3 linked regions of the Ovis aries genome follow. The protein of the gene in region 3 interacts with the protein of the main gene of each other region in a pairwise test. Links are inferred from orthologs where the notes say so. Each region holds a gene or a part of one and is shown on either strand. Other genes may lie near its edges.

The links.
Region 1: the proteins of AP4B1 (region 3) and TEPSIN interact in binary tests that used the Homo sapiens proteins (3 or more experiments, as listed by UniProt). The link is inferred for Ovis aries from reciprocal best matches to the Homo sapiens genes AP4B1 and TEPSIN.
Region 2: the proteins of AP4B1 (region 3) and ZNF576 interact in binary tests that used the Homo sapiens proteins (3 or more experiments, as listed by UniProt). The two-hybrid records come from large-scale screens. The link is inferred for Ovis aries from reciprocal best matches to the Homo sapiens genes AP4B1 and ZNF576.

Annotation. Positions count from the first base shown.
Region 1 is NC_056064.1:50,976,718-50,980,950, forward strand, and holds the start of TEPSIN (AP-4 complex accessory subunit tepsin), read left to right. Parts: upstream 1-1,408; 5' UTR 1,409-1,436; coding exon 1,437-1,484; intron 1,485-3,199; coding exon 3,200-3,272; intron 3,273-3,627; coding exon 3,628-3,719; intron 3,720-3,890; coding exon 3,891-3,984; intron 3,985-4,233. Other genes in the region: NDUFAF8 (NADH dehydrogenase [ubiquinone] 1 alpha subcomplex assembly factor 8), read right to left, coding at 476-606, 720-830, 993-1,076. UniProt on the Homo sapiens protein: Associates with the adapter-like complex 4 (AP-4) and may therefore play a role in vesicular trafficking of proteins at the trans-Golgi network.
Region 2 is NC_056067.1:51,632,501-51,636,523, reverse strand, and holds the start of ZNF576 (zinc finger protein 576), read right to left. Parts: upstream 2,846-4,023; 5' UTR 2,445-2,845; coding exon 2,416-2,444; exon of another isoform or gene 2,056-2,415; coding exon 1,955-2,055; intron 1,110-1,954; exon of another isoform or gene 1,049-1,109; intron 568-1,048; exon of another isoform or gene 363-567; intron 357-362; coding exon 1-356. Other genes in the region: IRGQ (immunity-related GTPase family Q protein), read left to right, coding at 3,029-3,038, 3,495-4,023. UniProt on the Homo sapiens protein: May be involved in transcriptional regulation.
Region 3 is NC_056054.1:91,209,014-91,212,572, reverse strand, and holds part of AP4B1 (AP-4 complex subunit beta-1), read left to right. Parts: intron 1-991; coding exon 992-1,095; intron 1,096-1,859; coding exon 1,860-2,067; intron 2,068-2,487; coding exon 2,488-2,769; intron 2,770-3,014; coding exon 3,015-3,442; 3' UTR 3,443-3,559.

The sequences.
Region 1 (4,233 bases), on a different chromosome or scaffold from region 3:
ACAGGATACCTGTGATCCTGACTAATAACCACAGGCGGTAGGGAAAAGCCTGGTTTGGCCAGGAGTGTGTGATCTTTATTTTACATGTGAATCCTTCCAACCACTGACCACAGGATGAAGGTTTGTACTTCCCGGAGGGAGTGCTCTGAGTAAAGCAAGGAAGCTGCCAAGAGCCAGGAAGCAAGTCCAAGCGACACGTGCATCTTGGATGAAACATGTCATATTGGAGATTGGTGACAAGGGCGAGCCGCATATCCCAGCCACAATGATTGCTAGGAAGGTGCAAGGGGTTCTTTGAGCCCTCTGGGAAATGAAGTATGGCCCATGCATTCTCCATCCTGGATCATAGAGATTCCTTGGATTCCCTAAATTCTAGTGAGCTGACCCAACTGTCCCCTGCCAGGTCCAGTACTCAGCACAAGCAGCTCTGGTGAACAGAACTGACTGTGGGCATCGTGGCCCACCCCAGACCCACCGAGTCGAGGGAACCCAGGACCTTGACATCTTGGGCACCAGCTCAAAACCTTGTGCTAGCCTCATTACAGGCAGCCTCCGTGGCGGCGGGGGTCGCGCCGGCTGGTGTGGGGCTGTGCCCCCGTGAAGCACCTGTTGGAGCCCAACATCGAACCCAGAAGAAAAGGAAGCCCGTTTCCCAAACAGGTAACGTGGGTCCCCGCCCCCTAGGGTCCCACCCCCGGGCGAGGCTGGCGTTCACTTACCGCAGCAGCGAAGCAGCTCCGCAAAGCCTCGAACTCCTGCGCGCACAGATCCTTCTTCAAGCAGCCGCCCGGGGCCGTGGACGCCTGCACGCACCTGCCGTAGGCCGCGGCCTGGGGGCGGACGGAGATGGGCGAGGGTCGCCACGGTCCCCGCGCCCGCTCATTACCCGGGCGGACCCCGCCGCCGCCGCTCCCGGGTCACCACTAGCCGCCCCCCGCCAACCTGCACCCCGCCTCGCGCGGCCCTTCCTGCCCCGCCTGACGACTCCGCACCTCGGCCCCACAGGCAGCTAGACACTCGGGAAAGGCGCGGAGGCGGCTTCGCACGCGACCCCACACAGCTCCGTTCCCCGACATGAGCGGCTCCTCCCGGCACCTGTGGGCGCCGCCATCTTAGGTCCGGCCTCTTCCGGCGCCCAACAGCTTAACCGGCAGGCACTTCCGCCCACAATCTTTCTTGCGCTTTGTCACTTGGTCAGGCTTAGCCCTCGCCTTAGCCTCTCCGGAACCGCTCTCAGTCTCCCAGAGCCCTGCAGTTGGCTCGTTGTCGGTCGCTGTCCTTGGACTTTGTATTGGTTCACGCGCAAACTGTTTCCCGAAGTCGGCCGCAAGGCCCTCCTCACTCGGGTAATTGGCCCGCGGGGTCAGGCTCACGCACTGATTGGCGGGGGCCCGGGCCTGGCGGAAGCGGGGCGGGGCCGGAAGGTGGCCGGCACCATGGCGGCCACGCCGCCGCTGCGGGACCGCCTGAGCTTTCTGCACCGGGTGAGTGAGTGCTGGCGGCCCTGGTCCCACCACGCGCCGCCTCCTGGCCTCACCCCCAGCCCAGGCCGACCGCCTCCCTGGCTGCGCACTGCCCCCGCGGGATCCCCGCGCCCCGTGCCCTCCGGATGCTGGCAGGCTTGGCGTCCCCTTCGTCCCCCTCCGTCCCCTCCCACCTCTCCTCTCGCCTCTTTCCCTGTTTTCCGGCCGCTTCAACATCCTAGAACACTCCTCATCTCAAATCCTACCCTTCGGCCCCTCCCGAGGCTGGGGGACCCCACAGCCTTGGGGGGCGGCAAGTCAGGCCATCCCTGTGTCAGGTCCACGGGGAAGAGTGACCCCCTTGAACAAAATCCCAAGTTTTTCTGTTTTCTTACCCAGCTTAAAGTAGCTTTACAGAAAAAGAAACAGTGATCCCCCGAACTCTGGCCGAGATAACCAGACGCTGATTCGAAGAGCGGCAGAAAACCTTTTATTAAGTGGTCCAGGCAGTGGGGGAAGCCCTGAATTCCAGTTCAAATTGTGCGGAGAGGACTGGGCGTTTTCAGGACAGGACAGAAGGGTGGAGTTCAAGTGAAAAATGGCAGGCGTTTGGGCGGTTTCGGTGGGATACGGCTGCTGTGCTGATAACTGGTGGTTACAGAAGCTAAGATCCCATCGTGCGGTAGGAACTGGGGGACAGACCCTGTCCCTCCTGGTGGTTACATTTCAAGGAGTGGCCTTCAGGTCCTTGAGAAAGACTCTCCTAAGTTGTAGGAGGTCTGGGTTCCCAATTGTAGAAAATGCTCCTGAAGTGAGCCTGAACCAGTCCAAAAGTCCAGGGTCAAGAAAAGGTCTGGAGTCTGTCACCAGAAATAGGCCAGAATGAACAGTGAATTCTGGCACTGTGAGCTTCCACAGGCAGGCGGCAGGGGTGAGGGGGGTGACGGGTTCACCCTCATGCTGCTGAAAGACAGGTCAGTTCTCTTTGAGCAGAGGTTTCGCTATGTGCCGAACATGCTATGGTCCTGCAGACCTTTCCAGCTTCCCTCTGGGTCTTGGTGGACAAATAGCGTGAACAGCCTCTTGCAACATTCAGGCCAACTGTGTCTGTGGCCAGCACCTCAGAAACTGCACCTGAGGTTTCTTGTCCTGTCTACACTAGGCTCATATCCTCCAGATGTGCCATGAGGTGGAATGGGTGTTTCTGGTTTTTATCCCTAGAAATTGTACATCTTTGTGCTGAGTCAACTCAGTGTAAACACCTTTGTGCTGACACATAAGCGTGAGACACACAGCTGAGTCGGTTGTTCTTGTTTTGAGTTGTTTCTGTGGGATCCCTTCCTGAAAGTGGCGCTGTAGGTCTGTCAGGGTGAATGATTGTGTCACAGGGGTTCACCTGAGGAGTATTTTTTTTTTTGCCAGTCTGTAAGTTGGTATACTAAAGGCACTTTTAAGTTGTGTGGCTGTAGGTGTAAGGGCCTGGGGGGCCCTGCTGAATCGTGACCTTTAGGGCCTGTCACCATGGAGACCACCACCCATTTCCTCTTCCCAGGCGTTCATCCCCGCCTCCAGAAGGGAGGCTTCTGCAGGCTCCCTGTGGCCAGTGGGACCGTTGCTCTTCTCTTTGGGTCCCCTGACCCTGTGTCACGCCAACTATAAGCTTTTGAAACTGGGATCCCCAAGAATGAGGGCTCCTGTGGCCACTCACTGTGGGCTGGGCTCTCGCTCCCTTTCAGCTCCCGATTCTCCTGAAGGGAACGTCGGATGATGATGTCCCGTGTCCGGGCTACCTGTTTGAGGAGATTGCCAGTATCCTTCCTTGTGGATACCTCTGGGGCCCCTGTAGCCTCTCCTACCCCATCTCCCAAGGTCCCGGGCTTCTCCTATCCCAAGGGGGCCCTGGCTCCTTTCCCATAGCAGCTAGGTGTGTGGGCTCTGAAAGTCACCTTACTGATGACTTGAGGCTTAGGAGGCCCTGGAAGCCGGGTGTTCCTGAAACCAGGGCCTGGGGTGGGTGCCTGGGGTGGGTGCCTGGGGTGGGTGCCTGTGGTAGAGGGGGCCACACTGAGGAGTTCGATGGCAGGAAGGCCCAGCTTCTCTCCCTGGCCAGGGCATTGTGTGGCCCAGGGTTAGCTCTCCCCTTCCCTAACTGAGTGCCTCCCAGAGATCTCCCACGAATCCCTGGGCAGCAGCCAGTGTCTCCTGGAGTACCTGCTGAACCGTCTGCACAGCGGCTCTGGCCGCGTGAAGCTCAAGGTGAGTCCGAGTGGCTCCAGATGCCTGCCCGGGGGTTAAGTCAGGGCCCTGTCCTGCCCCTGGTGGTGAGGCTGGAGGGGAGGGATGAGCTGGGGGCATGGGGGGCTGTGTCGGGTGGGGCACCCTTCTGTGGACCCAGCTCTGCCCACCCCCCCATCCCTGCTGCCCCAGGTGCTGAAGATCCTGCTGCACCTGTGTGGTCATGGCTCCTCTTCCTTTCTGCTCATCCTGAAGCGCAACCCTGCCTTCATCCAGGAAGCCGCAGGTATGGGCCAGCACTGCCTACAGGAGGCGTGGGAGGAAGGTGGCCAGGGCAGGTCTCGGCCAGAACCCTTAACCCGAGCCCCTGCCTCCCTGTCTCATACCCGTGCTCCGTCCACACTGTCCTTCACTGCCACTTCCTCCCTTCCCTTCCCTCTGTGTCAGCTCCTCCCCTCCTCCCCACCAGGCCAGGCCAGCACATTGCGTGGAATGGCTGGTGTCTGTCCGTGAGCTCTGCTGGGCCTTTGCGGCC
Region 2 (4,023 bases), on a different chromosome or scaffold from region 3:
CTCTGTGCAGGCAAAGGGGCCAGGAAGGGGATGGGCCTCGTGTGCCTGGCGATGCCGCCTCAGAGAAGCAGCCTGCCCGAAGGTCTTGCCACAGTCGGGACAGGGGAAGGTGGGTGGTGTGGTGATGGGTGCAGCCGGCTGGGAGGCCCTGGCCACTGGACCGTGGCCGCGCTGGTGGGTGATCAGGGCCTTGGAGGAGGGGAAGGATCGGGCGCAGGTGAAGCAGATGAAGAGGACCCCCTGCAGCTTCTGGGCCACGAAGTCCGCTGGGTGCTCCCGCTTCATGTGGCGCTCCTGGAACTTGGAATCGGCGAAGGTGATGAGGCAGCGGGTGCACTCCAGGGCCCCCAGGTGGCCTGAGGACATGGGGGAGAGGTTGGGAGAGGCCAGCAGGTGTGGCGAGGGCCTCTCCCAGCCCCAGAATCATGCCGACAACCAGCATGCAGGACTTGACGTGCTCTGTGCCAGGTGCTGTGCCAGGCCTGGACGGGAGACTTACTGGACCTATTTTGTGAATGAGCAGACCAGGGCTGCAAAAGCTGAGGCAACTTGCTGACTGTCATGAGGCTGGGAAGTGAAATGGTGGAGTTAGAACTGGAACCCAGGCAGTCTGCCCTTCTGACAGAGCTGTATGATTAGGGCACAGCCTCTGGAGCCAGACTGCCTGGAACTGATTTCCCCTGGCAAGGGAAAACAGTGTTTTCATCTGGAAAATGGGGTAATCATTGTATTAGTATCCACCTCATATGGTTGTTGGAAGGAATAAATGAATGAACTTATAAATAGTGTTTAGAACGGTGCTACACAATGGTTTGCAATAATTATTGTTGAGAAAGAAGAAACCCCACAGCCAGGGGCTGGCCTGGCACAGCTAGGCCTTGGCATTCTCCTGGTGAGCATAAACAATTCCACAGAACGCTGTCAAACAAGGCCGTGCTGTGACTGGGGCAAATCAAGACCACACCATGGTGCTGTTCTGAACACAGACAAAACGTGAACATTGTCTGGGCCATGAGAAATGGCCAGACAGCCCCCTGTCCTGGCTTACGTGAGTGCCTGCTGCTGCTTGGCCAGTCAGAGCTGGAGCGTTCCCTTGTTCCTCCCTCCTCCTAGGTCAGATTTATTAAGTGAGCAGCCATCTAAGAGCCCTTGCTTCCTGGCAACCTCTATCCAGAGCAAAACCCCTTTCTTGAACCCTTCCCCAGTGGTAGGGAAGTCCTTTCTTATGAGATGCCCCACAGTGTGTGTACTTCCTCAGCACAATGAGCAATAAGCCTGATTTGCTCAACTCCACGTGTGTTCCTGGTGGTCTCCGGCTAGAAAGCACTAACACTAGCTTTCACTGTTATAAACACATAACCTCTCTTTGCCTCAGTTCCCTCACTTCATATGACAGTGATAATTATCAATTTCATAGAGTCTGTTAGGAGGACAGACTGAGACAAGTGTTAAAATCTTAGAATGCATCTAACACGTAATTAGCATTCAGTAGAAGCTGTTGCTGTTCTATGTCAAATTGGCTATCTTCATTAATATTAAGCTTTCTCCTTTTCTGCAGCTAATCCTCATACCAGCCAGCCCTGTGAGGTGAGGAGTGGCCACCCCTTTTGACAGGGAAACTGAGGTCCAAGGCGCACTGTAAGTCCAGGGCAGGGTTGGGACTGGGGCTCACTGCCCTTCCCAATCATTTCTCCCACCCCAAGCCTCTCTGGATGCCACTCTTTGCCTCTGAAGTGCATCCCTTTCATATTTATGTGGACAGAGCAGGGAGCTCTGCTCCTTGTTACCTCTGAGGGTAACAAGGGTCGGGGTCCTGAGAGGGCAGCTCATGGACCATTAACAGCTCCTTCCTAACGAGTAAGTCCCCACAATGCTTTGAACACTGAGATGCTATAGAAGTCCTTTTAGCATCACAGCTCCTGCAACCCACCCTCCTCTGGTCAGCAGTACTCACAGAGGTCACCTCTCGGACTTCGGGAACTTCTCTCCTCGGACGAATCCTGCTGCTCCATGGTCTGCTTGGAGTGCCGGTCCTCCATGGTGACTGGGACCCCTCTGGTCAAGAGAGGAGCATGCATGGCAGAATAGTAAATCAAGTGAAGTCGCTTATCTATAGCCAAATTTAGAGGGCCCCCTAATCCTGTGATCTTTGACAAGCTTACTTTGCCCGTCTTTGACTTCCATGAGATAACATCTCTTTGAATTCTAACCTAACAGCTCTCAGTAGAGAATTCAACCTTCCAAAAGATTCAGCTCCTCAGCTCTGTGACTTCTCTTAGCGCCTTCTCACTTGAGTGACCTATGCCTGCTACATCAAACCAATTCCCTGAACACAGAGCTAGGGACCCCTGATCTTTGGACACCAGCCTCATCCCCTTCTCTTCCACCTGTCTTGAGGCAGGTAGTGGTACCCACGCTTTAGCCCGCCTCCTCCCGAGAGACATCTTTCTCTGACATCCCGAAACTCTGAGACCCCGCTTCCCACGCGCGCTTTCAGCCGTTGTGACCCGCTGCCCCCAAGCACTGCCCTCGGCTCCCTCCCGAGGCCAGTAGCCTAGGTTTCTGCTTTTCTCCAAGACAGCAGAGGGGCTGCCTTTCGTTGCGCCTGTCAGTTGCTCGTCACAGCGCCGTCACCCGAAGGGAAACGGGGTAGGGCCCACCGAGTCTCAAAGTCCCGAGGCTTTCCACGGCCTTTCGCCTGATGAGCCTTTCGAAGCCCGGATCTTGGATTGCCATCCGACTGCAATGATGCAGTCCCACCAATTCGGTCCTCAATATAACGCGAGGGGTCCTTCCCTGCACTGGGGTGCGTAATGATGACGTTGTACGCAACTCTCGCCTGACCGACCGGTGCTTACTGCGCAAGCGTGTTAGGCGCTTCTGGCGCGCACGCGCTTTGGCTCCCTCATTGTTCTAGGACCTGCGACCGCTGAGAGCGGGCGAGCGCCCATCCGTCGTTCTGCGCAAGCGCCGCACAGCGCTGTCTTCCCGAGGTTACGCTTTCAAGACACACCTCCTCCTAAAGGGAATGACGTCAGGTTAGAACCCCTGGAAAGCGTCTGGACGTCCCCGAATCCCGGCGCTCTAACCTCTTAGGCCTCCGTCCCCCGACCCCAGAGCGGGGGCTTCTTAGGGGCAGACCACCTGCTACCAACTGCGCCGTCCCTTGTGCTGGTTGTTTGCTCGGTTGGTGATTTGGAAGGGAGGAGTGAGGGGTTAAAAACATCTGTATCCCAGAGGGTGTTGGGAGCTGGAGGCCAATTTCTGAGTTTTTGAAGCGGAAAAGGAAAGCCATCCAGAAGGAGGGCGGACGGGACTCCCGGGTCCCTGGGGAATAGAGGCTGGGCGCCAGATTTCTGGCTGCCTGGGAGTGGTACCCGAGAACGAAAGAAAGGGACAGAATAGTTGGCTGAAATGTGAGACCGGAGTAGGGAGGCTAGAAAATAAGGTTGGGTGCTCCGTGACCCAGGTCTTCCTCTCTCCTTGCTTCCCAGCTATGCCTCCGCCGCGAGGTGACGTGACCGTCTTATTCCTGGGGCCTCCGGGCTCCGGAAAATCTGCGCTGATCGCAGCGCTGTGCGACAGAGATGTGGAGACGGTCGAGATCCCCGACGGACGGCCGGATTCCGGGCTCCCCAGCCTGCGAGCTGCAGGCCCAGGCCTTTTCCTGGGCGAGCTGAGCTGCCCACCCGCAGAGCCGGGACCCTGGGCGGCGGAGGCCAACGTGCTGGTACTGGTGCTGCCAAGCCCCGAGAGCAATGAGGAGCCCTTGGCCCCGGCCCTGGGGGAGGCAGCACGGGCCGCCCTGGCCCGAGGGACCCCGCTGCTGGCTGTGCGGAATCTCCGACCCGAGGAGTCACAGAATGAAGCCCAGGCCCGGGATCAGACCGCGGCCCTGCTGGACAGCGCCGGGTTGGGCGCCGCGGCTCTCTTCGTTCCACGGACCGACTGCCTCAGCACCGACGGCTGCGAGGAGCTGGAGCGCCTGCGAGCGGCGCTGCGGAGCCAGGCCGAGGCACTGCA
Region 3 (3,559 bases):
TTGTTTAGCTAATGAAGGGTGCTAGGATGACCTTGCTTGTCATTTCCCCACCTTTGTCCCTCTTTTTGCTTCACAACAGCAACTGTAAGCAGTGGCTGCCAGACCTGGGACTAGAATGACACAAACAAGGTGCCAAGAATACAGACATTTAAAGAGGCGCTCACTACTATATAGAGCATGGGTAAACAACAAGGTCCTACTGTACAGCACAGGGATCTATCTGCAGTGTCCTGTGATGAGCCAGAACGGAGGCCTTCCCTGGCGGCCTAGTGTTTCAGAATCCACCTGCCCATGCAGGGCACACCGGTTCAGTCCCTGGCCTGAGAAGATCCCACATGCAGTGGGGCAGCTAAGCCGGTGCGCCACAACTACTGAAGCCCATGCGCCTAGAGCCTATGCCCTGCGACAAGAAAAGCCGCAGCAATGAGAAGCCCATGCTCAGCAACGCGAGGGTAGCCCCCACCTACCGCAACTAGAAAAAAGCCCCCACAGCGACGAAGACCCAGCACAGCTAAAAAAAAAGCCTTACGAGAAAAGAGTATATATATATATATATATATATATATATATACATGTAATGTATATAGAGAGTCACTCAGTCTCAGGTTCCTGCAGGTGCTACCTCTGTGTGTCCTCTTATGTTTTACAACCTGGCACCTTGCTGGCTTCACCGTAGCCCCAGCCCTAGTGTCTCCATTTATACTTCAGAGCATCATTCAACAGCAGCACTCCCCCACATTTGTATATGGCTTTCCAGTTTACCAAGTGCCTTTGCATACATTAATTCTTGTATCCTGATGGCAATCAGGGAAGAGCAACATTCATTTAAGAACTTGTTGCCCGTACCAGACCTTTCTCAGGTGATCACTGACCACCCCCTCCAACACCCATTTTGCAGACGCTCCTGCCGCCTGACTGTGTGACTTTTCTTAAGATTCCTTCCCACACGGAGGCTCTAACCCTGTGCTCTTGTGTCCTGAGCTTGCTGCAGTGGTGGTGCAGACTTTCCGAGACCTGGCATGGTTGTGTCCTCAGTGTACGGAAGCTGTGTGTCAGGCCCTGCCCGGCTGTGAGGAGAACATTCAAGACAGCGAGGTAGACTACGATTCTCCTTTACTTCCTGATAAAGGGGAAGTGCTTGGGACCTGCTCTGTGAAATGGAATCGAATTATTCTTTCTATGCAGTGTCTGAAGTGGGAATTCTTAGAATCAGTTGCCACCTCAGATTCTCTTTGGGGTGTAGGCAGGATATAAATTATGAAAACATTAGAATTTAACTATGGTTTCCTCACAAATATTTTGATAACCGTTATTCTCATGTAACGTATTCATTATTTTGAGTGAGAGATTTAGACCATAGGGTTTTCAGCTGGCATGAAAAGCAGAGTCATTTGTGGACTTTCTACGTGTGTTTACGCTTCATCCCAGATCTACTCAGCTATTCAGAAGTGGGAACCCCTGGACACATACAGTTTCAAGAAGCCTTGCAGGCGATTCTGATGTGCACTCTAGGTTAATCACCACTTTAATGGAGTCACTTAGGGAAATCTTCCAGTAACTTCCACTGAAGCATGAAACTCCAAATTGGGGCCAAAGCCCCAAAACTGAGGAATCTTTATTGCTTAAACAACATAGGCGTGAGAGTCATAAGTCTCCTTTTTTGTGTAGAATTTCGTTCCTGTTTGTTGTAGAGAGTTTAGTAGGGGGTAGATCAATAAATGCAAGCTGAAGCAAGTAAAATACACTTTTTCTGCTAACTCTAGGGGAAAAGCAAACCCTGCTGCTGTCTGCCGTCTGCTCTCGCCTGGGTTTTGGACAGCCAAATGTTAAGCATCTGTTCTTACTCCCTAATTCCCTAGGGGAAGCAGGCACTTATCTGGTTACTCGGTGTCCATGGGAAGAGAATCCCCAATGCTCCTTATGTGTTGGAAGACTTCATAGAGAATGTGAAGTCAGAGACGTTCCCTGCTGTCAAGATGGAGCTGCTCACAGCTGTGCTGCGCCTCTTCCTCTCTCGCCCAGCTGAGTGCCAGGACATGCTAGGCCGCTTGTTACACTACTGCATAGGTAGGCTCTTCAGAGGAAATGGTACTTGCTGTGGCCAGTTGTGTATACCTCCTGGTGGCTCAGATGATAAAGAACCTGCCTGCAATGCAGGAGACCCGGGATTGATCCCTGGGTTGGAAAGATCCCCCAGAGAAGGGAATGGCAACTCACTCAGTATTCTTGCCTGGAGAATTCCATGGACAGAGGAGCCTCGTTAACTACAGTCCATGTGATCACAAGGAGTCAGACACAACTGAACGACTAACACTTTCACGTCGGTCATAGAGGTTCTCACAGCTTTCATTGTTTGATGAGCTGTGTCTGGGACCCAAGGAGAAAATGTCAACATTTTCTAGGGTTTCCTCCCTCCTATTCTGGTGGGCACAGGGATAGAAAGAATGTTTTTATTTTTAATTAACTCAACCTGTTATCTTTCCTCAGAGGAAGAAAAGGACATGGCAGTACGAGACCGAGGTCTCTTCTATTACCGCCTCCTCTTAGCTGGCATCAGTGAAGCAAAGCAGATCCTGTGTAGCCCTGAATCTGACCCTTCCCTCAGACTTTTGGAGGATCAGGCAGAAAGACCTGTGAACAGCTGGGCCTTGGACTTCAACACTCTGGTGCCAGTATATGGCAAAGCCCGCTGGGCAACCATAGCTAAATGCCAGGGAGTAGAACATCATGGCCCAGAGCTTCCTAACACTGCAGCCTTTCCCACATCAGGTAAAAATCAACCTTATTTTCTATCTTGTCATGAAAAATCTTTATGGTAGAGAGTAAAGTACCCCAGCTAAACTTCAGATTGTTGCTTGAATTTTGTCTTTGTGAACAAGAAAATTTGCCATTGGTTATTTAAGCCATTTCTCCAAAGATAAAAATCACATTGTGTACTTTCAGAAATCTAGATTTTAAAATGTAGTTTCAGCAGACTGAGAGCGTCTCTTAAATAAGCTTTCTGACTCTTGTAGGATCCCTGATTCCCGAAGAGAACAAGGAGAGGGTTCAGGAACTCCCTGATTCTGGAGCCCTCATGCTCATCCCCAATCACCAGCTTACTGCTGAGTGTTTTGAGAAAACTTGGCTGAGCCTCAAAGTTGCTCATCAGCAGGTGTTCCCGTGGCAGGGAGCAGTCCATCCTGACACCCTGCAGATGGCGCTGCAAGTCGTGAACATCCAGACCATCGCGATGAGCCGGGCTGGGACTCAGCCATGGAAAGCCTACCTCAGTGCTCAGGACGACACTGGCTGTCTGTTCCTAACAGAACTGCTGCTGGAGCCTGCGAACTTGCAAATGCAGATCTCAGTGAAACAAAGCGAGGCGAGGACAGAGACACTGAAGAGTTTTATTTCTGTTTTAGAAACTGTGATCGGAACGATTGGAGACATAAAATCATAACATGGCTTCTTGTCTGTCCATAGTGAGGTGAATAGCTGTCAGAGTTCCTTAGTTTTCTTATTATCACTGCTTGTAAGTCCAGATAATATCAAATGCAAAGGAGAAGGGGAATCTGGG